Linked DNA regions of Macaca fascicularis. The main gene of each other region encodes a partner of the protein of the gene in region 5 in a complex. Links are inferred from orthologs where the notes say so. Each region holds a gene or a part of one and is shown on either strand. Other genes may lie near its edges.

The links.
Region 1: POLR3E (region 5) and POLR3D share a complex: the UniProt entries of both Homo sapiens proteins name them as parts of the RNA polymerase III complex. The link is inferred for Macaca fascicularis from reciprocal best matches to the Homo sapiens genes POLR3E and POLR3D.
Region 2: POLR3E (region 5) and POLR3G share a complex: the UniProt entries of both Homo sapiens proteins name them as parts of the RNA polymerase III complex. The link is inferred for Macaca fascicularis from reciprocal best matches to the Homo sapiens genes POLR3E and POLR3G.
Region 3: POLR3E (region 5) and POLR3F share a complex: the UniProt entries of both Homo sapiens proteins name them as parts of the RNA polymerase III complex. The link is inferred for Macaca fascicularis from reciprocal best matches to the Homo sapiens genes POLR3E and POLR3F.
Region 4: POLR3E (region 5) and POLR3K share a complex: the UniProt entries of both Homo sapiens proteins name them as parts of the RNA polymerase III complex. The link is inferred for Macaca fascicularis from reciprocal best matches to the Homo sapiens genes POLR3E and POLR3K.
Region 6: POLR3E (region 5) and POLR3C share a complex: the UniProt entries of both Homo sapiens proteins name them as parts of the RNA polymerase III complex. The link is inferred for Macaca fascicularis from reciprocal best matches to the Homo sapiens genes POLR3E and POLR3C.

The regions. Positions count from the first base shown.
Region 1 is NC_088382.1:25,316,044-25,320,159, forward strand, and holds the start of POLR3D (DNA-directed RNA polymerase III subunit RPC4), read left to right. Parts: upstream 1-1,316; 5' UTR 1,317-1,401; exon of another isoform or gene 1,402-1,438; intron 1,439-1,664; 5' UTR 1,665-1,669; coding exon 1,670-1,834; intron 1,835-3,433; coding exon 3,434-3,477; intron 3,478-4,062; coding exon 4,063-4,116. UniProt on the Homo sapiens protein: DNA-dependent RNA polymerase catalyzes the transcription of DNA into RNA using the four ribonucleoside triphosphates as substrates.
Region 2 is NC_088380.1:94,490,830-94,494,329, reverse strand, and holds part of POLR3G (DNA-directed RNA polymerase III subunit RPC7), read right to left. Parts: intron 2,045-3,500; coding exon 1,915-2,044; intron 1-1,914. UniProt on the Homo sapiens protein: DNA-dependent RNA polymerase catalyzes the transcription of DNA into RNA using the four ribonucleoside triphosphates as substrates.
Region 3 is NC_088384.1:68,818,215-68,822,242, forward strand, and holds the start of POLR3F (DNA-directed RNA polymerase III subunit RPC6), read right to left. Parts: upstream 2,801-4,028; 5' UTR 2,691-2,800; coding exon 2,629-2,690; intron 1,222-2,628; coding exon 1,104-1,221; intron 1-1,103. UniProt on the Homo sapiens protein: DNA-dependent RNA polymerase catalyzes the transcription of DNA into RNA using the four ribonucleoside triphosphates as substrates.
Region 4 is NC_088394.1:781,872-785,819, reverse strand, and holds the start of POLR3K (DNA-directed RNA polymerase III subunit RPC10), read left to right. Parts: upstream 1-1,148; 5' UTR 1,149-1,200; coding exon 1,201-1,311; intron 1,312-3,732; coding exon 3,733-3,820; intron 3,821-3,948. Other genes in the region: SNRNP25 (U11/U12 small nuclear ribonucleoprotein 25 kDa protein), read right to left, coding at 731-874. UniProt on the Homo sapiens protein: Core component of RNA polymerase III (Pol III) which synthesizes small non-coding RNAs using the four ribonucleoside triphosphates as substrates. Can mediate Pol I proofreading of the nascent RNA transcript.
Region 5 is NC_088394.1:21,302,143-21,305,642, reverse strand, and holds part of POLR3E (DNA-directed RNA polymerase III subunit RPC5), read right to left. Parts: intron 3,281-3,500; coding exon 3,173-3,280; intron 2,819-3,172; coding exon 2,769-2,818; intron 1,805-2,768; coding exon 1,685-1,804; intron 295-1,684; coding exon 209-294; intron 1-208. UniProt on the Homo sapiens protein: DNA-dependent RNA polymerase catalyzes the transcription of DNA into RNA using the four ribonucleoside triphosphates as substrates.
Region 6 is NC_088375.1:113,586,053-113,589,552, reverse strand, and holds part of POLR3C (DNA-directed RNA polymerase III subunit RPC3), read left to right. Parts: coding exon 1-108; intron 109-2,205; coding exon 2,206-2,294; intron 2,295-3,500. UniProt on the Homo sapiens protein: DNA-dependent RNA polymerase catalyzes the transcription of DNA into RNA using the four ribonucleoside triphosphates as substrates.

The DNA.
Region 1 (4,116 bases), on a different chromosome or scaffold from region 5:
AAAAAAAGCACGTCGAATGTACCAGATATTCACTACAGCATTATTTAAAACAGGGAAAAAAGAAACAATCAGGGAAATACTTAAATCATGATACAGCCACTGGAGAACTATGCAGTCTTTGATGCCGTAACAGAGAAATGTTATTTGAAAAAGCAGGATACAGGCCAGGCGCAGTGGCTGACGCCTGTAACCCCAGCACATTGGGAGGCCGAGGCGGGTGGCATCACTCGAGCTCAGGAGTTCAAGACCAGTGTGAGCAACACAGTGAAATCCCGTCTCTACCAAAAATACAAAAAAAAAAAAAAAAGAAAAAAGAAAAAGAAAAAGAAAAAAGAAAAAAAAAATTAGCCGGGCGTGGTGGCATGTATTTAGAGTCCCAGCTACTTGGGAGGCTGAGGTGGGAGCATGGCTTGAGGCTGGGAGGCAGAGGTTGCAGTATGCAGAAACCTCGCCTCAAAAAAAGAAAAGAAAAAGGATACGAAATTGTGATACAACTCTGTGAAGACTACTAGACACATTACAAAATTTTTAATAGTAGTACTCTACGTGGCATTCTGGTAGAAACGATTTCCTTTCCTCAAACTCCCCGTAATAATGTTTTTATACGGTCTGGGGGGATGGGAGATAACATTAAACGACACTTTTTATATCACAAACGCTGGAGTCAATAAAAGTTCTTTAAATTCCTCCAGCAGTAGAGCAAACTTGGTATTCCGATTCTGTCCAGGCTTTGACCAAGAGCGCACCCGAGGGCCACCGCCTTCGTGATCCCAAGCGGGTGTGACTGGGCACCAGTTGGTCCACTGCGGCTGTTCCAACGCTGCCCTCACAGCCTCACCCCAGGACTCCACCAGGAGCACAGGGAAGGGGTCCCCGAGAGTGGGCGAGGTCGCTGCCCGGAGGTAGTGACCACTCCAAGGTCACCATGGAGAACCCGCAGACAGGGCTCGGCACGGCCCAAGACTCCCCGACTCTAAGTCCAGGTCTCGCTCTCTGTGCCGCGCCCCTCGTCCCATCCCGAGCAGCTACCCCCAAGCTCCCAGGGGCTCCGCCGAGGCGAAGCCTCACATTGCGGCTTGGCGGCCGACAAGACCCGCGACCCTGATCTCGGCACCTCCACGCCACCGCCCGGGGGCCAAGACCCCCGAGCACCGCCACATAGCGTAGCCCAGACCGGTTCCCTCATCCTTTTTCGCCCTCTCAACCCAGCTTTTCCCGACTCCGGGAAGAACCGGGAAGAGAAGGCGGAGGGGAGCGAAGCGCCGCCTGATAAATACTGTGGCCCAGTCCCGCCCCCGAAACGTCACATCCGGCCCGTGCCAAGATGGCAGCGCCCAGGCGGTGCCACGCAGACTTCCGCCCGGTGCGGAGACCTAAAGCTGGCAGCGGGTCGCGTCGCAGGTGAAGTGGTGACGCGCGGTGTGGAGCCGCGGCCCGGGTGCGTCCCTGCCTGGTTCCTGGGCGGGGTTCCTGGAGAGAGGGCGTGTCGCGAGCCAAAGGCTCTCACCTGGGTGGTCCCGGGAATCTCGCCACGTGGGAGGGGAGGAGCTGAGAGGCCACTGGAGGGACGCACCGACTGGGGGACCGGAAAGCAAGGGGGTTGGGTTCCGCCAGGGTCCGCGTGTCAGTCCACTCTGGTAATCTCGTCCCCCCTTCTCTCCCAGGCAACATGTCGGAAGGAAACGCCGCCGGCGAGCCCAGCACTCCGGGAGGGCCCCGACCCCTCCTGACTGGGGCCCGGGGGCTCATCGGGCGGCGGCCGGCGCCTCCCCTCACCCCCGGCCGCCTTCCCTCCATCCGTTCCAGGGACCTCACCCTCGGGGGAGTCAAGAAGGTATCCAACGGCGCGTTTCTAAAGAAACTCAACTACCTTGAATTCCAAGCCCCGGCATTCAACTGATGTTTGTGTAGGGCCTACTATGTGTCAGGAGTGTCGTTGGGCCTCAAGCCTACCCCTCTTTAAATTCTAGGGAGCCTGTCCTATCTTCAAATCTAGGTACTGAGTACAAAATGTTGAAATGAGTCCCAGAGGTGGTTGAAAGACAGAGAATCCTAATAAGTTAAAGTCGTTCAAAAGTAATTTGAACAGTGTTTATTTACTCTTATTGTGTGTTTGGACATTTTTAAGAAACCCATGAAAGCCAGGCAGGCATAAACTTCACAGTCTTAGAGCGTTCAGAATTCACCATCTCAGTGTGCAAACTTGTTATCTAGAGTATCATGAATCCTAGGCATGGCATTCGAGGCTCTGTGGGCTGTCCCATGTGTATATGACTGTGGATGTCAAGAGTAGCCCAGAAAGGGGTGGTGTCAGGATGACAGAAGAATAAAGCAGGTTTTTGGGTTTTTTTTTTGAGACGAAGTCTCGCCCTAGTCCCCCAAACTGGAGTGTAATGGCATGATCTTGGCTCACTGCAACCTCTGCCTCCCGGGTTTGAGTGATTCTCCTGCCTCAGCCTCCTGAGTAGCTGGGATTACAGGTGCCCGCCACCATGTCCAGCTGATTTTTGTATTTTTAGTAGACACAAGGTTTCACCATGTTGGCCAGGCTGTTCTTGAACCCCTGACCTTGTGATCCACCCACCTCGGCCTCCCAAAGTGCTGGGATTACAGGCGTGAGCCACCGCTCCCGGCCAAATAAAGCAGTTTTTTTTGTTTGTTTGTTTTGTTTTTAACAGAGTCTCTTTCTGTCGCCCAGGCTGTAGCACAGAGGCACCATCTCAGCTCACTGCAACCTCCACCTCCTGGGGTTCAAGCGATTCTCCTCCCTCAGCCTCCCGAGTAGCTGGGATTACAGAGGCCTGCCACCGCACCTGGCTAATTTTTGTAGTTTTTAGTAGAGACGGGGTTTCACCATCTTGGCCAGGCTGATCTTGAACTCCTGACCTCATGATCCACCTGCCTTGGCCTCCCAAAGTGCTGCGATTACAGGCGTGAGCCACCACGCCTGGACATAAAGCAGTCTTTAGAAACCTAACTTTGCCTTGGAAAATATGGAAAAACACTGCCAACAGTGATTGAGAGTATTGGCAGATCTGTGGCCTTCCCTACTTAGGCCTTGCTGCTAGAGATGTTCCCCCATGATACTGACTGGTCTCTATAGCAGTTTGAAGATAAGAGGTGAGACCAGAGAAATTCCTTTGCTTTTAGAAGTCCCAGAGGACCTTCTTTCAGGATCTTCTTTCCTAAGGCTGCTGGTTAAAAATGGTTTTTGGTGCCCCTTTCTTCTATGCATAACTCCACTGCCACCACACCATGACGTTCCTCCTTTTCAGGCACACGTGTATCTAGAAAACTGACAGCACTGTGGAATGTGCCAAAGAGAGTCATGGTGGCCGTGGTCTGTAGAAGATGCCCGTTGGGAGTTTTTATTTTCCTCTGTACTTTGGGATCAGGACCTAACACATCAGTGACTCCTGTATTTTGCTTTCAGAAAACCTTCACCCCAAATATCATCAGTCGGAAGATCAAGGAAGAGTAAGTAGCTAGTCCTTCTGAATACTTGCCCCTTATTTACTTGCTCTGAATTTGGGGCTTTGGGGAGAAATAAGTAGGTTTGTGGCTCCAAAATTTAAATTTATATCTTTAGTTCTTTTCACTAGTGATTTTCAACCCTGGCTCCTAGGTGATTCTAATGTTTAAGCTTTAAAAAAAAAAAATACTGGTGTCTAGGGTTCCATCTCTAGAAATTGTGATTTAACTTGTTGGCAGTAGAATGGAGTGATTCTCTTTGATGGCCCGAGTTGAGAGCCAATAGTTTAAACAAAGATGTATCACGCTTTCCCTGAAGTTCCTTTGCATTTCTGCCTTCCTGCTTTCAGTCCCAATGCAAACAAAAATCTACATTTTTGGACAAGAACGTAAAGTAAAGCAAACTGAAAAAATCCTGCCTCATCAAGGAAGTGAGAAAAGTGCTAGAATTAGGATTGGATTCTGCTTCTCATGGTGTAATTATTGGCTCAAACTCTCCGCTGTCTTGGAGTGAAGTGGTATGGGAGAGTAAGGCCAGTTTTTGGAGACACAGTGAGTGAGTGGTTTCCCTTAATCCATTCTTTTTTCCAGGCCCAAGGAAGAAGTAACTGTCAAGAAGGAGAAGCGTGAAAGGGACAGAGACCG
Region 2 (3,500 bases), on a different chromosome or scaffold from region 5:
AATCCCAGCTCACTGCAACCTCCACCTCCCCGGTTCAAACGATTCTCCTGCCTCAGCTTCCTGAGAAGCTGGAATTACAGGCACGGGCCACCACGCCTGGCTAATCTTTGTATTTTTAATAGAGACAGGGTTTCCCCATGTTGGCCAGGTTGGTCTCAAACTCCTGACCTCAGGTGATGCGCCTGCCTCAGCCTCCCAATGTGCTAGGATTACAAGAGTAAGCCACTGTGCCTGGTCTAATTTGATGTACTTTTAAATTAGACATGTGTTTTAATAACAACCACATTCAGCTAAGTAAATCTGTACCATAGAGAAAAGATCAATTTTAAAAGCACTAAAGTATACCCTGCGTTACTATTTTTTCTAGTAAGAATGAATACTGATTAGTTCATTTGGTCTTTTTGAAATCTTTAAAATGAAAAGTTTTATTTTAGAACTCAAACAGATGAAAGCATACAACATATTCATGGAAGTTAAAAATTTCAGTATTAGGCTAGGCGCGGTGGCTCACGTCTGTCTGTAATCCCAGCACTTTGGGTGGCTGATGCGGGCAGACTACTTGAGGTCAGGAGTTCCAGACCAGCCTGGCCAACATGGTGAAACGTCTCTATTAAAAATATCAAAATTAGCTGGGCACGGTATTTCGCGTCTATAATTCCAGCTACTCAGGAGGCTGAGATGTCAGAATCACTTGAACCCAGGAGGCAGAGGTTGCAGTGAGTCGAGATTGCACCACTGCACTCCAGCCTGGGTGAGAAGAGTGAGACTCCATTCTATTACAAAAAAAACCAAAAACAATTAAGTATTTTTGAGATAAAATATCTCTTATCAAACCATTATATAACTCAAAGCAGCTATGTTTTGAGAATTAAAAGAATTTGTCTAAAATGCTTCTTATAATTATAAGCACATGCTAAGATCATTACACAAGGCTTCCTTTTTTGACTCAGCCAATTCAAACTATTCTAGAGAGAGGAAAAATGGAATGTATTTTTAATACTAATAGAATGAGATGACACTATTAATTTCTCATGTTTTAATGATGTTGTTTTGAGAACTCAAAGATGGTATCAGTCTCTCTAATTTCAACAATCAAGGGCAGAAAGTGAAAAATCAATATAGTACTGCTGTGCTAAATAGCTAAGCAGGAATCGTTTCCTTTCCTATAAAACCACTTCCCACTTCTAGTCTGAGACTGTTGAGCCCTCTCCAACTATAATGTTCCCTTTCTTCACTAAGCAGCACTAATGAACACATATTTTACATCATATCAAATACCTGAATGAAAAACCAAACAAAATCAAGTCTTAAAAATTTTTTTAACCTAAATATTAAATAATTGGAGACATGCATAAAGGTTTATGTATAATAATAATCACAGCATTATATATACAAGCAAAAAACTGGAAATAATCTTTAAAAAGCAGGAAATTAGTTACAATTAATATTATATCCACAGAGTGGACTACCAGTCATTAAAAGTCATGTTTGCCAAGAATAATAAGGATATGTGAAAATGCTAATACGCTACTGATTGAAAAAAGATACAAAGTAATATGAATCTAATTTTGTAAAGAGAATATGCATGCATAAGAAAAAATCTGGACTATATAACAAAATATTAATAGTGGTTCTCTAGACATAAGCATGGGTAATTTTTACTTTTCAAAATTTTCCTGTTTTTCATAATTTTCACTGAACATATAAAATTATTGTGAAAGCTATTTCTAAAAATAAAATATCAAAGTTTAAAGTATTTTTTCTGTTAAAGCAACATAAATATGCTTTTTCAAAGTGGTTGATAATTTTTTATTGAATAGAATCAATCAACATTCAATGATTATATATCTTGTGCTTAAACACTGTTTCATCTGTACACATTAAGACACATAATCAAAGACTCCAATACGGTACCTTGTCTTTCTTCAGGTGTTTCAATAAAATAAGGCATTCTTTTCATTGTTTCTCTCAACTCCTGTTTCAAAGCCAGCATATATTCTTCACCTTCTCCTGTTTTCAGTGGCACTGGTTTATAATCTGTATCCTGTTTAAATTAAGACACAAAGGGTTTTTTTCAAATCAATTATGTATTCTAATATCCCTTTTATCTGTATTGTAGAAAAGAGCAGTTTTATTGAAATACTGTGTTTTACAGGCACTAAGTTTTACAATCAACTTAAAAGATGAACTTCTGTAGTCTATTTAACCTGTTAACCCATTTCCTACTTTGCTCTCATATTAGAGGTAAAAAAGACGCATAATTTTCCTATTGGCCCTGAAAACTACACCAATAATCATTTTGTCATACAGTCTGTTGACCTATGTGATTATCTACTTTAAGGATTAAGATACCAGGCCAGGCGCGGTGGCTCACGCCTGTAATCCCAGCACTTTGGGAGGCCGAGGAGGCGGATCACAAGGTCAGGAGATCGAGACCATCCTGGCTAACACGGTGAAACCCCGTCTCTACTAAAAATACAAAGAAAAAAAAATTAGCCAGGTGTGGTGGTGGACACCTGTAATCCCAGCTACTCGGGAGGCTGAGGCAGGAGAATGGCGTGAACCCAGGAGGCGAAGCTTGCAGTGAGCCAAGATCGTGCCACTGCACTCCAGCCTGGGTGACAGAGCGAGAGTCCGTCTCACCAAAAAAAAAAAAAAAAAAAAAATTAACATACCAAAAAAAAAAAGAAAAAGAAAAAGAAAAACTAAGGTACCCAAATGAGGGCAGCTGCTTTAGGTCCTTATTAACCTCAACTAGTGGTGGTGTTATTGGGAAAAAATAAATAAAAAAGCAGCAGCTATAATTTAGTATATGGTTACTATGATATATTCAATATCCAATATCCATTATCTCATTGAAAGGACTACCAATATTTCTCCTTTTACAGTGAAGAAATTGAGAAGTGAATAATTTATAAGCCCATAGAATGAATAAATGGCAAGATAGAGTTTGAAGCTGCATTTCAAGTTTTTAAAATTATACACACATATACATATACACAAATATGCATTTGTATGTGTGTATATATTTACACAAATATATTCATTAACAAGGGGATCTCCAGGGTACATAGTAAAGACATTTCTGGTTTCAGAGAATAAAGATAAGGTACATTCTCAAAATTTGATTAGGAATATATACATTCATGCTGCAACTACTTATTGAGTACCCAACATGGTTAGACTATAGAAGATACCATGATAAACAAGTCAAAGTCCCTGCCCACAGGGAACTTACATTCTAGGAGAGAAACACACAACAAATTAGTAAACAAATGAGGTGACATACAATTTCACATAGTGATAAATGACATAAAAATAAACGAAGGTGGGTAAAGGCAAAGTGACTGACAGTGCAGGGAGGATGGAGGTGCAGTCTACACAGGGTGAGCACGCGTGGCCTCTTGGGGAAGTCACATTTGAGTAGAGATTGGGATAAAATCAGGGAGCTATCCATGCAAAGAGAAGAGATGGTAGGGAACCAGCAGGCCCAAAGGCCT
Region 3 (4,028 bases), on a different chromosome or scaffold from region 5:
ATGTTTTAATGATGAGGGAAAGTAAGGAGACATTTAGAGCATCCGGCACCACTAGGGGATTTTTAGACAGTCTTGCTTGTTTGTTTGTTTCTGGACAGTTAGAGAATAGCTTCAATGATATATTTCATTGCGATATCACCGGGGCCTAAGGCTGCACTTCCTCCCCAAGGCCCAGCATTCTTCATTCAACTGGACTCATTCTTGCTCCTGAAATGCTCAGTGACAATGTGGAGAATGAAACCCTGATGACTGGGCTCTGTGACAACTCATAGAAAAATCGGGGGTTGGAAGGGGGTGGTATATTTTATAGGAAATGGTCCAACACCAGTAGTAGGAAGTGAACAGAAGGTGAGAACAGACTAGACCTATGTACGGCAGTGGCAATTAATAATACAACAGTTATAACATAATACATTTATTTCATTTGTCTTATAATGCATAATTGTTTCTTTTTTCAATTCAGGCAGTTTGAGGTATTTCCTGGTTTAGAGTCTTATCAGTCAAACCTAACATACTTTCTCGTTTTATGACTGCTGTATTAGGGTTCTCCAGAGAAACAGAACCAATAGGATACATCTCTCTCTTGAAAGATTCCTCAGAAGGTATTTGCTCTGTGATTATGGAGGCTGAGGAGTCCCATAATCTGCCCTCTGCTAGCTGGAGACCCAGGAAAGTTAGTGTTGGAGATCAAAGGGCTGAGAGCAGAGAGCTCAGGGTGTAGATGCCAGTCCAAGTCTGAAGGTCTGAGAACCAGGAGTGCTGAGGGCACAAGATCCATAGCCCAGATCAAGATTGAATTCACTCTTTGAATTCAAAGAGTGAATTCAATCTTCTTCTGCCACTTTGTTCTATTTAGGCCCTGAATGGATTGGATGATGCTCACCCACACTGGACCCACATCTACTTTACTGGGTTCACCAATTCAAAATGCTAACCTCTTCCAGAAACACCCTCACAGACACTCCAATAAAATGTTTAACTAGATATCTAGGAATCCTGTATCTTAGTCAAGTTGACATGAAATTAACCATCACAACTACATAATAAAAACCAATGATAATCAGCGTATCAGTAATTATGCAAAATAGTTAGATTCACCTTACCATAGACAACAACCTATTGATGGCTACTGCCCGCTGCTGGGCCTCTATATGAGGCATTTCATTCTGAATTACTTGGTCTGTGATTCCATGAGGGAACTGGTGACATAATTCTATAATCCTAGAAACAAGGGTATTAATGTTATCCTTCATGGTTACCTGTTTCAAGAGACAGTAGGGGTAAAAACACAAGTAAAATAGTTTGAAATTGTGCCTTTTTCACATTTGGAAGACAATCTGGGTTTCTGCGATGGTTTTGGATCAAAGCATTTTAGACACTGAAGAAGATGATTTCTAAATACATGATTACAGTATTATTGTTATTTAAGAAGAATATTTCTTTTCCTCACTAATAACTTTAAATTAGAGCAAAAGTCTAATGAAATCACAGAAATAATATTAAAGCTGAGACTTCAATTTTCTCAGGTGTAATAAGTATGACAAAGTTAAGCCATAAATCTGCAAGCAGGAGGCAAATGCAGACGTTTCTGGTGGGAAGCCAAAATTTATGATAATTCACCAAAATGGGGCCTGTTTTGGGAATTATATCTACCAAACAAAGTAGGTCAAAATCTTCACCTAGTCAACATCAACAAATTATTATTCCTAACAGTTTGAGAAAGTTACGTCTTTTAAAAGTACGTGATAATCTAAGAGTGGCAGTGCCTCGGTAAAAAATATAAAAGGCGGTGGTGGCTCACGCCTGTAATCCCAGCACTTTGGAAGGCCAAGGCGGGCGGATCACGAGGTCAGGAGATCGAGACCATCCTGGACAACATGGTGAAACACCGTCTCTACTAAACTACAAAAAATTAGCTGGGCGTGGTGGTGCGCGCCTGTAGTCCCAGCTACTCGGGAGGCTGAGGCAGGGGAATCGCTTGAACCCAGGAGGCGGACGTTGCAGGGAGGCGGAGCTTACAGTGAGCCGAGATCCTGCCACTGCACTCCAGCCTGGAAACAGAGCGAGACTCCGTCTCAAAAACAAACAAACAAATAAACAAATAAAAATAAAACTGGCAGAGGCTTTGGGTATCCTAAAAGTCTTGAGTTCAATACTGCACTGAAACTACCTGACTTAATGTTGCTTCCTAATCACCAACTGCGCCCTAACTCCGCCTAAACGTTTTGACATAGACGTTCCCTTCGTGACAAGAGCGATCCTGGATCAGAACAAGCATTCACAAGTGTTCTAAAGGGAAGGAAAGCTGAGGGTCTCCTCTCAAAGCAATGATCACGTCAAAGTAGGAAGGCAGCGCATCATCACAACTTCCCCAAAAGTATCAGGGCAAAGCGAGTCAGCTACACAAAGTTGCAAGCTGTCAAGCCCATTTTGAACTTCTTGAGTTCTGCTCTCCCAGGATGGGAGGTTAGAAGTGGATCCAGAACCTCGCAATCGTTTTCCCGCGTGCTCACCCAACCCGATCCGGCCACTCCCGAGGGATCCGGGTGAAGGGGTCCGGCTGCCCAAATGCTGGCCGCCTGATGGAGTCCCAAGCCGGAGTCTCACTGGTTTCCCTGTTTGGTTTACCTGTTTTCTATTTCGACCGGATCCGCGTCGGGCGGCTGCACCTTCACCTTCACCTCCGCCATGAGGGAGCAGTTCCTGACGCCTGGGGAAAAGATGCACGGAGCGGCCGGGTAGCAAGCGGGAGAACCCTGGGAACCAGTGAAGGATAGCGCTTAGCGGAGAACGAGGGGCTTTTTTCCTCGTGTCGCAGCGGTCCTTCCTTGCTTTTCGGCGGGAGGTGGCCAAGTCGCGCCTGCTCCGGTCCACTTACAGGCGCCGCTACAGCTTCTTATCCTTGTTTTTCAGAATGTCAATGCCCATCGGACGCACAAGCTTGGTTCCTTCATTCTGAGTTGGGAAGCCAACTTTTAGCACTTTGCAACTCTGTAAAGGAATATTCTTAGATGCCTATGGGAAAGCCCAGGGAAAGGAGCTCAAGGCGGGTTCCAGGCTCCCGGCGAGGCGGCAGGGGCGGGGCTAGTTGCTAAGAAGCTGCCTTGCCGCCAATCATCTGCCCAGCTCCAAGTGGGCGGGGCACGGCTCGCAGCGTCTGTGGTAACCCGAGCGGCGGCGAAGGAGGAGGCAAGAGGCGGTGAGAGGCCGGCGACTGGGTTGGGAACTGCAGAGATGGATTAGGGGTCCCGATCACGGGTCCCCCGGTTAGAGGAAGAGGAGGGCGGCTAGAGGAGGGGAAGAGCTTTCCTTACTCCAGCCGAAAGGATGCAGGTGTCCTTGGCAGCCCCTGACGGGCGGGGACAACCAAACGGGGTTCCGGATCCGGGTTGCGAGGGGACGGTCCACTTTGGGAGAGTTGAGGGGTCTGGGGATCCTGTGGATTGCTGCACGTTGCCATTTGGGCCTGGCGGATCCGCCTTTTTCTTGATTCCCTTTGCGTGGGGCCCACTGGCCACCCCAGCTTCGTAAGGGCAGCTGCTAGTTGATGCTCGCGAATTACCTCCTCTCCTACATATTTTTTATTTAGAAATAATTTTTCAACTATTTTTATTTTATCTGCCTTTCACTTGAATGGAAATGCGACTATAGGCAAGTCTCAAGTTCAGCTACACTCCTGTAGGAGCTATTGCTGTGCTGTCAGTATCTGCAGTTTATATTCTTGGCCCTCGATCTGGAACTATCCAACGAGGCATTAAGTTCACCCCTTAAATTAGTTACCCCACTTTTGAAAATACAGTCTGTGACAAAGCTCAAACTGCAGAGATGTCAGATCAGCATTATTAGAACTGCAGCAGGCGGCCGGGCACGGTGGCTCACGCCTGTAATCCCAGCACTTTGGGAAGCCGAGGCGGGCGGATCACGAGGTAAGGAAATCGAGACCATCCTGGCTAGCACGGTGAAACCCCGTCTATACTAAAAATACAAAAAAAAAAAAACAAAAAAAAAACCAAAAACAAACAAAAAAA
Region 4 (3,948 bases), about 21 Mb from region 5:
GTTGCAGTGAGCCAAGATCGCACCACTACACTCCAGCCTGGCGACAAATCAAGACTCAGTCTCAAATAAATAAAAAGTATCGTGCCAAAGCATATTGACGCTTGAGGCAAATGGAACTAAGTTTTTTCGTTTATCGTAGGGTTTTTTTTTTTTTTTTTTTTTTTTTTGCATCACCTTTGACTTTTAAAGCTATTACAGGCCGAGTGGGTGGCTCACACCTATAATCCCAGCTTTTTGGGAGGCTGAGGTAGGAGAATCGCCTGAGCCCAGGAGTTTGACACCAGCCTGGGCAACATAGTGGGACTCCCTCTGTACAAAAAATTTAAAAATTAGCCGGGTGTGGTGGCGCGCATCTGTGGTCCCAATTACTCCGGAGGCTGAGGTGGGAGGATGGCTTGAGCTCAGGAGGTGCAGGCTGCAGTGAGCCAAGATCGCTCCACTGCACTCCAGCCTGGGCGACAGAGCAAGACCCTGTCCCCCCAGCCCCCTAAATACAATTACATTAAAATTTCATTTAATGTCACTCACTAATGAGGGTTTTGGTTCCTCTTTAAACTTCGCGCCGCAGGCGAGTGTGCCTGGCCAAGGTAAAGACCCTTGTTTACGCCCAGAGGCGCCTTCCTCAGCCTTGGGCCGCAGCCTCCCACCAGCACCTTCAGAGGCTGCGCGCGCCCGGACGCCCGGCCCCCGGGGAACGACTCCCGCCCCCCTGGCCCCCGCCAGCACACACCTGGATCGGCAGATCGCAGAGCAGCGGGTCCTGCACCACCATAGCCAGACCCTCCTGGAACACGTCCATGGCCTCGGAGTGCGGCAGCGCCTCTTCTTCGTCCTCATCTTCCTCTTGCGCCTCGGACCCACCCGCGGCCTCCATCTCCTCCAGGGCAGCACCTCTCAGCCGGTCTCTGCCGGCACTTCCAGTACGCACTAGGGAGGCCAAGCGCGCACGCGCAGGAACTGCGGCCGGTCCCAGCGAGGCCGCCCAGCCATTGGTGCGCCGAGGGGTGGGGCGGCTGCAGTGACCAATGACAAGTGCGAGACAGCCAGCAGCAGGGCTGGGAGCGCAGAATCGCCCTGTCTATTGGTTGGTGGGCGGGGCGAGGCGGCCGCCAGGACCAATGTAAGCTCGAGGCGGGCCGCGCGTCGGCGCTGAGCGGCAGTGTGAGCTGCCGGTGGTTGGCGCCTGCGGAGTTCGAGACCATGCTGCTATTCTGCCCCGGCTGCGGGAACGGGCTGATCGTGGAGGAGGGACAACGCTGCCACCGCTTCGCCTGCAACACGTGCCCCTACGTGCACAACATCACCCGCAAGGTGGGACCCGAAGGCCGGCGCTGGGCCGCGGGCGCCTCTCGCAGGCCTTCCCCTTCCTCCGACTGCGGCGCCATCGCCGCCAGCCCCGGCGTCTGCCTCTGTCCGCTCTTTCTCGCTCCCCCTTCCGGTCTGCAGCAGATCTGTGGGCTCTTTCTGTGGGCTCCAGCACACTCAGAAAGCCCCACCGTTTCCCGCCTCCTTGGGTTCCTGCTCCCACGCTTGCGCCCTCCTCTGCGTTCACAGCAGCGGCCACGGCGATTCCCTTAAAGCTGAGGCACGTAGGTCCGTGCTGTGCGCAGAAACCTTCGGCCGTTCCCCAGCTCGTGCAGACGAAAAGCTGGAATTCTTCCAGGGCCTACCATGTTCAGACACTGACCCCCTCCCCGACTTGCTTCTCCGATTTCAAGTCCTATTGCCCTTTGCCCCATCAACACCAGCCTCCTGGACGATCTCTCATTGTGCACATGGCGCTCGCAGGGCCTTTGCACTTACTGTTACTAACTTCGCTCTTCCCCTAGATAGCCACCTTACTCATTGGTCTTGTCTTTACCGTATTTTAAATTGCAGCCCCTCCGTCCAATGTATCCTCCTTCCCTTTGTAATTGTTTCCACAGGGCTTGTTACCTTCGAATACATTACGTAATGTATCGTGTGCTTTGTTTATTAATAGTAGGACCTGGCCGGGCGCCGTGGCTCACGCCTCTAATCCCAGCACTTTCGGAGGCCAAGGCGGGTGTATCACTTGAGGTTAGGAGTTCGAGACCAGCCTGACTGACATGATGAAACCCCATCTCTACTAAAAATACAAAAATTAGCCGGGCATGGTGGCAGGCGCCTGTAATCCCAGCTATTCGGGAGACCGAGGCAGGAGAATGGCTTGAACTTGGGCGGCGGAGGTTTCAGTGAGCCAAGATCGCGCCACTGCACTCCAGCCTGGGCAACAAGAGTGAAACTCCGTTTCAAAAAAAAGAAAAAAAAAGTAGGACCTAAGGTCTAGGAGGGCAGAGGTTTTCCGTTTTGTTCCCTTCTATGTTATATTCTGAACAACTAAAATGAAACCTAGAATATAGTAGGTGTTCAGTAAGCAGATGATGCATGCTTTATTATAACTTGTTGTTTTCCTTTGATAATACATATTTTCTTTTTACTTTTTAGAATACTTTTACTTTTTTTTTTTTTTTTGAGACGGAGTCTCCCTCTGTCGCCCAGGCTGGAGTGCAGTGGCGCCATCTCGGTTCACTGCAAGCTTCGCCTCCCGTGTTCACGCCATTCTCCTGCCTCAGCCTCCCTAGTAGCTGGGACTATAGGCGCCCACCACCACGCCCGGCTAATTTTTAATATTTTTAGTAGAGACAGGGTTTCACCGTGTTAGCCAGGATGGTCTCAATCTCCTGACCTTGTGATCCGCCCGCCTCGGCCTCCCAAAGTGCTGGGATTACAGGTGTGAGCCACCACGCCTGGCCAATTTTTTTGTGTTTTTAGTGGACAGGCTTTCCCCGTGTATTAGCCAGGATGGTCTCGATCTCCTGACCTTGTGATCCGCCTGCCTTGGCCTCCCAAAGTGCTGGGATTACAGGCGTGAGCCACCGTGCCCAGCTTTTTTTTTTTTTTTTTGAGACACAGTCTGGCTTTGCTTCCCAGGCTGGAGTGCAATGGTGCAATCTCGGCTCACTGCCACCTCTGCCTCCCGGGTTCAAACAATTCTTCTGCCTTAGCTTCCTGAGTAGCTGGGATTACAGGCTCCTGCCACCACCCCCCAGCTAATTTTTGTATTTTTGGTAAAGACGGGGTTTCACCACGGTGACCAGGCTGGTCTCGAACTCCTGACCTCAGGTGATCCACTTGCCTTGGTCTCCCAAAGTGCTGGGATTACAGGCATGAGCCACGACGTCTGGCCAGAATACCTTTATTTTTAGAAGTTAGAATATGTTGGTGCTACCGCCGGGCGCGGTGGCTCACGCCTGTAATCCCAGCACTTTGGGAGGCCGAGGCGGGCGGATCACAAGGTCAGGAGATCGAGACCACGGTGAAACCCCGTCTCTACTAAAAATACAAAAAATTAGCCGGGCGCGGTGGCGGGCGCCTGTAGTCCCAGCTACTCAGGAGGCTGAGGCAGGAGAATGGCGTAAACCCAGGAGGCGGAGCTTGCAGTGAGCCGAGATCGCGCCACTGCACTCCAGCCTGGGCGACAGAGCGAGACTCCGTCTCAAAAAACAAAACAAAACAAAACAAAAAAAAGAATATGTTGGTGCTACCTCAGTCTTAATGTTTGCATGCTACTACATTTTGTACTGTGTTGTGGGAGTTTGGAGTTGGAAACTGTGGGAAGAGTGAACTCTTATATAATCCTGAAATTCGAGGTTTGGCAGCCCAGGTTTGTGCTATGCAGTTACCTGGAGTCTGAAGTGTTGTTTTTGTTAGGTAACAAATCGGAAGTACCCAAAACTGAAAGAAGTGGATGATGTGCTTGGTGGAGCAGCTGCCTGGGAGAATGTTGACTCTACTGCAGGTAAGAGGGAACACTGTTTCTGTTGCTAAACTGGATAATTATGAGGCTGTTGATGCCACTGCATGGCAGAGTCTGTGATGTCATATAAATGATGTAGGTTTCTAAAAATAGAAATGGTTTTTGAATAA
Region 5 (3,500 bases):
CACCCCTGCCTTCCCCTAGCAGCCCTGAGCCCCTACAGAAAAGGGGACCATCTCTTTCCAGGCCCACCCTCCTGGCCTTCTCCAGGGGACCATGGGCTCCACCCTCATGCTAGAGGAGGGGCCACAGTCCTCGGGGAGGATCCACACCAAGGACCCTCAGGGACCCTGGGTGGGCATCCAGCTTGCATGCTGGCCCAGCCCATCCCACCTGGGTGACTTGACGAGCTCCGTGTTCTCCACTCCGCTCGAGCCGGAGCACAGCAGGTACTGGCGCTCATGCTCAGAGCGACTGTCCTGTTGGAGGAGGGCAGGGTGTGAGAGGAGCCTCAGCTGATGGCCCTGGCCTGGCCCTCTCCCCCAAGGCCTCCCCTGTCTTCCACTCCATGGCCAGCCACAGGACCACATCCAACCTCCTGAGCAGAGCCCCCAAGGCCTCTGACATGGCCTTAGCCACTCATCTTCCTGGCCTTATGACCAGCCCAGCCCCAGCCCTCAAGCCTCAATGCCTTGTCTATAACACAGGCACACCACCAGCAATGACAAAATGATGGCTAACATTCACTGAGCATCTAGGATGAGGTGGACTCTGTTCCACTGACTGTAAATATACTAACCTATCTCATCTTCAAAATAACTTGGCAAGGTAGGTACTATTATTACTACTCTCATTTTATAAATAAGAAAACTGAGGCTCAGAGAGGTTAGGTAACATGCCCAAGGTCACACAGGAAGAAACAGCAGCGTCCAGAAGTTCGACCCCGAGTCTAAGGGTCTGTCAACACAAATCTCTTCCAAGAAGGTCCCAGAGAAATCAGGAGTTGTTCCTTACCCCAGAAAATATTGGGAGCCCTGGCCCATGGTGTCTTTGGAAGCTTCCCTCACTCAGTAATAGTTTCAAGGGTTAGGTTCTAAAGGACCAGGGCCAAGTGGTCATGGCTCACGCCTGCAATCCCAACACTTAGGGAGCCTGAGGCGGGCAGATCACTTGAAGTCAGGAGTTCAAGACCAGCCTGGCCAACATGGCAAAACCCTGTCTCTACTAAAAAAACAAAAACAAAAAAAATTAGCACGTGCCTGTAGTCCCAGCTACCTGGGAGGATGAGGCAGAAGAATCACTTGAACCCGGGAGGTGGAGGTTGCAGTGAGCCGAGATTGAGCCACTGCACTCCAGCCTGGGTGACAGAATGAGACTGTCTCAATAAATAAATAAATAAATAAAAATAAAAGTAAAGAAAGTCAGCGTACCAGATGAAAACCGAGTATAGTAAAACAAATCCCCCCCGGCAGGTATGCTGGGAACTCTGGGGCAACAGCACACGGCCGACTCTCTAGGGCAGAACCGGAGACCGCGTCTGGCCTGCGGTTAGGGCCTGGGCTACAGCGAAAATATGTCACCAGGCACCAGCCCCACTGCAAGCCCACCAAGATGCCCAGGCCCAGGGGCCAAACCCCACCCAGGGAACCAAGGACTCACATCTTTTTCTCTGGCTCCCCTGGGGCCCACGCTAAGTGGCTCGGCTACAGTGAAGTGTCAACTGTCCACAGGACTCGATTCTCTCTCTGTGGCTATGACTCATGAATCTGACTTAAGTTCAAGGTGAGACATGGAGGCCACACCATGGCGCTTCCAGGCACCGGGGTATTTCCCCCCGGGCCCCACGAAGCCCGGCTCACCCTCACTCACCCTCAGGCCATAGTAATGCAGATGGACCCAGGGCTCCTCCGCATGCTTCTTCTGCAGGAACTCGTAGGACTGCACACGGCGCTGGCGGGCCTGCTCTGACTCGGGCCGGGAGAACCGCACCTGCAGCGGGAAGCGGAAGAGGTCATACCCTCGAGCCTGTGACCCTTGCTGGGCTGCCATCTCAGCCCCTGCCAGGAGACCAGAGAACTCCGTATCGGGGTTTTCCACTCTCCCTTCCTTTCCTAGCACAGGTCGTTTAAATTCCGTTCCAACCGTGTCACTCACAGAGCTGCCTGCACACACCAGGGAGCAGCTTATACTTGCTCGTGCCTGCCCAGCCCAGAGGCTTGAGGGGGATTACAGAGTCCCAGGTATCAGAGCGGGCAGAGTCCTTAAAGCACACAGGCCCAGGACGCCTTTTCTAAGTCCCCCAGAGCAGACGGGAGTTTCTAAGGTCCTAATAAGCTACGGAGAGAAGAGGATGAGCTCCCTGCGCCACCTCCATGTCCGGTATGCCGGTGTTCCCCAGTCCTCAAGGATGTCCAAACACTCACCACTCTCTAGCCATACCTGTGTATCATCATTCTACGTGTAGCAGTTTTGTTTTGGTACTACTCATTTTAATCTAAATACGCTTAAATAGGGAAAACTTTACAAACCATAAATGGAAGGTTAAGATTCTTTGAAAAATCTTTAAAATTCAGGAGTAACTATTAAAACAGAAACTATTCATCTGTGCCCCAGAAAGAGGATAGAATCACAGTTAATTGACTTTGGTGCTGTTAAGATACGGGTTTCATGGCAGAGCTGGTCTGCGGGTTCTCGGGGCCCCTGGCCCCAGCTTCCTGCTCCCAGGTGATTCCAGCCAAGCCCCAGGCACCCATCTCCTGGATCCAGCCAGGGCTTCCGTCTTGTGTACAGTTGGGACAAGTCAGGTTGTTCCCTCCAGGTAGCCCAGCAAGAAGGCTCAAAAGCACGGACCCTGTTTGTTCCACCTGCTTTCTGCGAAGACCCACTACCCCTTGGGTCTGTGGTCCTGCTGCTGCCCAGGCAGAACCCTCCTCCTCCAGGGGCCAGGGCTCACCGTGATCTGCTTAACATCGTCTTCCGCCTCATCCTGTGAAGAGTCCCCTGCTGCAAGAGAGACAAGCCACTGACTGCAGTCCTGGGGAGCCTCCACCTCCCTTCTCTCAACCCCACCCACCAGGGAAGCCTCAGGAGGCCAGGGTGCCGGGAATTCTCCTCGCAGAGGGAGCTGCCTAAGCCAGTGGTTCTCAGTTGGGGATAGTTTTGCCCCTTTACCCCGGGGATACTGGGCAATGTGACATTTTTGATTGTCATGACTGTGGGGTGGGTGCTTCTGGCATCTAGTAGGTAGAGACCAAGGATCCTGCTAAACATCCTATCATCGCATCCCTCTTGCCAGGACCAAGCCATCCCACTAGGATGAAGGCGGACAGGCAGCAGGGCTGAGGATCCCGGGCTCACCCTCGTTGGCTGCCTCCCTCTCCCGGTGCTTGGCGTCAGCCTTATCCAGGTAGGAGAAGCTGGGCCGCAGCTGCAGGATGCCATGTAAAGGTGTCAGGTGGAGCTCACCTGGCGGAGGAAGAAGGGCTTGGACCCAACTCTAGAAACCTACCCAGTTTGGCTCAAGGGAGTCACCAAGTCCCCTGAAGACCTAGGCCTACCATCAAACCGCCTCCCATTCCCACTGCAGCCCCCAATCCTAGAGTCTTGGGACCACCAGGCCAGGGACCATCCCCAACTCCACCTGACCCTGCTGGACACAGCAAGCACACAGCCCAGACTAGGACAG
Region 6 (3,500 bases), on a different chromosome or scaffold from region 5:
CCTCAGTACCTACCACTGAGAATTCAGACCCTGGGCCACCACCACCTGCCCCCACACTTGTCATCAATGAAAAGGACATGTACCTGGTTCCTAAGCTGAGCTTGATAGGTAAGGAATTTTAACCCCTGGAACTGTGACTTGCCTTAATTGTGGATTCTTCTTGATTGATTATCAAATGTATGAATCAGGTGAACATTTACCTTGGTAAATCAGACTGATTTACCAATCAGTCTGAACATTTGCTATGTGTCAAACATCGTGGTGGATAACAATGAAAAAATCATGGTCTCTGTCATGGGGCTTTAGGAGACATACATTAATCAGAAAATCACATCGATATATCATTAAACGGTGATAAGTACTATGAAGGAAATATTCCTATGAAGGAACTGTCATAGTATTATGACACATACATTAATCAGAAAATCACATCGATATATAATTAAACCGTGATAAGTACCATGAAGGTAAAGTATGAGGTGTTATGAAAATATATAATGGAGGCCGGGCGCGGTGGCTCAAGCCTGTAATCCCAGCACTTTGGGAGGCCGAGACGGGTGGATCACGAGGTCAGGAGATCCAGACCATCCTGGGTAACACGGTGAAACCCCGTCTCTACTAAAAAATACAAAAATCTAGCTGGGCGAGGTGGCAGGCGCCTGTAGTCCCAGCTACTTGGGAGGCTGAGGCAGGAGAATGGCATAAACCCGGGAGGCGGAGCTTGCAGTGAGCTGAGATGCGGCCACTGCACTCCAGCCTGGGCAACAGAGTGAGACTCCATCTAAAAAAGAAAAAGAAAATATATAATGGAGACTTTGGGAGACTGAGGCAGGCGAATTGCATAAGGCCAGGAGTTCCAGACCAGCCTGGGCAACATGGTGAAACCCCATCTCTACTAAAATTACAAAAATTAGCCAGGTATGGTGGTGTACACCTGTAATCCCAGCTACTCGGGAGGCTGGGGCAGGAGAATTGCTTGAACCCAGGAGACAGAGGTTGCAGTGAGCCAAGACTGCGCCACTGCACGCCAGCCTGGGCGACAGAGTGAGACCGTCTCAGAAAAAAAGAAGAAAATATATAATGAGGGACGGGATTCATCTGGGAGTTTAGGCCTCATGTTTCTTTGAGAAGGTGACATTTGAGCTAAGATTTAAAGTGGAAGCTAACAGTGAGGTAACAGAGGAAAAGCATTTTTGGCAAAGGGAATAGTATGTAGTAAAAAAAAAAAAAAACCAGCATTTGTAGACCAGGCACGGTGGCTCATGCCTGTAATCCGAGCACTTTGGGAGGCCAGGGCGGGCGGGTCACAAGGTCAGGAGATCAAGACCATCCTGGCTAACACGTTGAAACCCTGTCTCTAAAAAAAAAAAAAATACAAAAATTAGCCGGGCATGGTGGCGGGTGCTGTAGTCCCAGCTACTCTGGAGGCTGAGGCAGGAGAATGGCATGAACCCGGGAGGCAGAGCTTGCAGTGAGCCAAGATCTGAGATCATGCCATTGCACTCCAGCTCTGTCACACTCCAGCCTGGGTAACAGAGCAAGACTCCATCTCAAAAAAAAGCATTTGAGGAAATGAGAGAGTGTCAGTATAGCTAAAGCATTGTAAGCAAAGCAAAGAGGCATGAGATAAGGTTAGAGACATAGATAGGCAGGGGTCTGATATCAGAAGCTAATCAGGATCGACCTGCTTAGTACTTGGATGGGAAACAGGCAGGGACTAAATCAAGTAAGACCTTATAGAGCATTTGTTCTTTATGCTAAGAGCAAAGGAAAACCACTAAAGGATTTTTTAGGAAATGACATGATCTAATTTATACTTTTAAAAGATTTTTTGTCTACAGAAAGGATGGGAGAATGGGGCAAAGTAAAAGTTGACAGACTGGTGGAAAATGAAACAGAGGGTGAAGGAGACAAGTATTAAGAATGTCATTTCTGTGTCTGACTTGCACATGTGGAAGAATGGTGATATCATTGGCCATGAAAGACAGTATTGGAGGAGAAAGACTATAAGCTTCTTTTTGAACATGTTGAGTTTCAGATCATTTCATCCTTTACTTGAATTTCTTATAGCTCTTCAGCCCCCTAAGCAACTCTGATCTAGAGGCAGCTATAGATGTCTTTGGAATGAAAGACACCTGCTCTCATGTTTGGTCATTTGCTGTCATACAGTCATACAGTCTAAGTGTTCAATTATTTGTTTGGCAGGAAAAGGTAAAAGGCGCAGATCATCTGATGAAGATGCTGCTGGGGAACCCAAGGCCAAGAGACCAAAACATACTACAGATAACAAGGAGGTAATGGGGCTTCTTGATTAGAAGTCCTCACCCTGAAGCAGGCCAGAAAGAGCACTCAGATAACAAGCCCCAAGAGAGCTTAAAGCTTCCTGAGCTAAGAAGCAGTAGGATTATGAACCTCATTAAATATTAGAAATAGAATGAACCATTCTATTCATTCACAAAGAATGAATCATTACTGTCTCCCTTCTGAGCCTTAATTCTTTCATTGAACAGAGATAACAGGCTATGTAAAAAGGGGCCTAGAAAAAGTTTAGATTGCTCAATATGGCAAGAACCTAAAAACAGTGGTGAAAAATGGGTCTAAAAACTATACATAGGCCTGAACTTATATTCAGTGCCTTCTTAGCATGCCTATAAAGATGTCAGTAAGCATCTCAAACTTAGTGTGGCCAAAACAGAATAATTGATTCCTCCTCTTAGTAAAAGACACTACCACCTAGGCCAGCCACCTAGGACACCACCATTTCTGCTTAGGCCAAAATCCTTGGAACTTTCTAATCTCACAGTAAAACATATCAGCCCAGTTTCCAAAATTACCTCAAATCCAACCATTTCTCATCTTTTAACTGCCGTCTCTCATCAACTCTTTCCTAACCCTTTCGTTAATGGTCTCCCTAGCTGCATTCTTACCTACTTAGTAGCCAAAATGACTTTCTAAGTTCAAAACAAAACAATACATCCACTGATTAGACTCCTTTAATAGCTTTCCTTTACTCTTAGAAGAAATCCAAGATACGGGCTAGGAAGCCTTACATGATCTAGGTCTTCGTATGATCTGTTGGAGACAGGCTTTTCAACCTCACCTCTGACCCATCTCCGTCTTGCTCACTGTGTTCCCCCTACTGACTTTCTATCTCTTAAACATGTCAAACTCTTTCTAGTCTTTAGACTTTGGCCCTTATCATGCCTCTGGCTTCAAATGTTTGTCCCCAGATCTTCATGTAGTGGTCTCTGTTTTTATCATTTCTGTCTTAAATGCTCTTTTCATAGACTTCAAGCACCATTGTCTTCTCCTACACTGGTCCCTACCACATTTCTCATTTCATATACTTCACAGCATTTATATTTATAACTGGAATTATTTATTATTTGTGTACATGTTTGTCTAAGAGGTGTGGACTTTATCCTGAAGACAAGGGAGAGCCATTGATGGATTTTAAGCAGAGAAATGAAGTAACTGGATTTATATGTTAGAAAGATTAT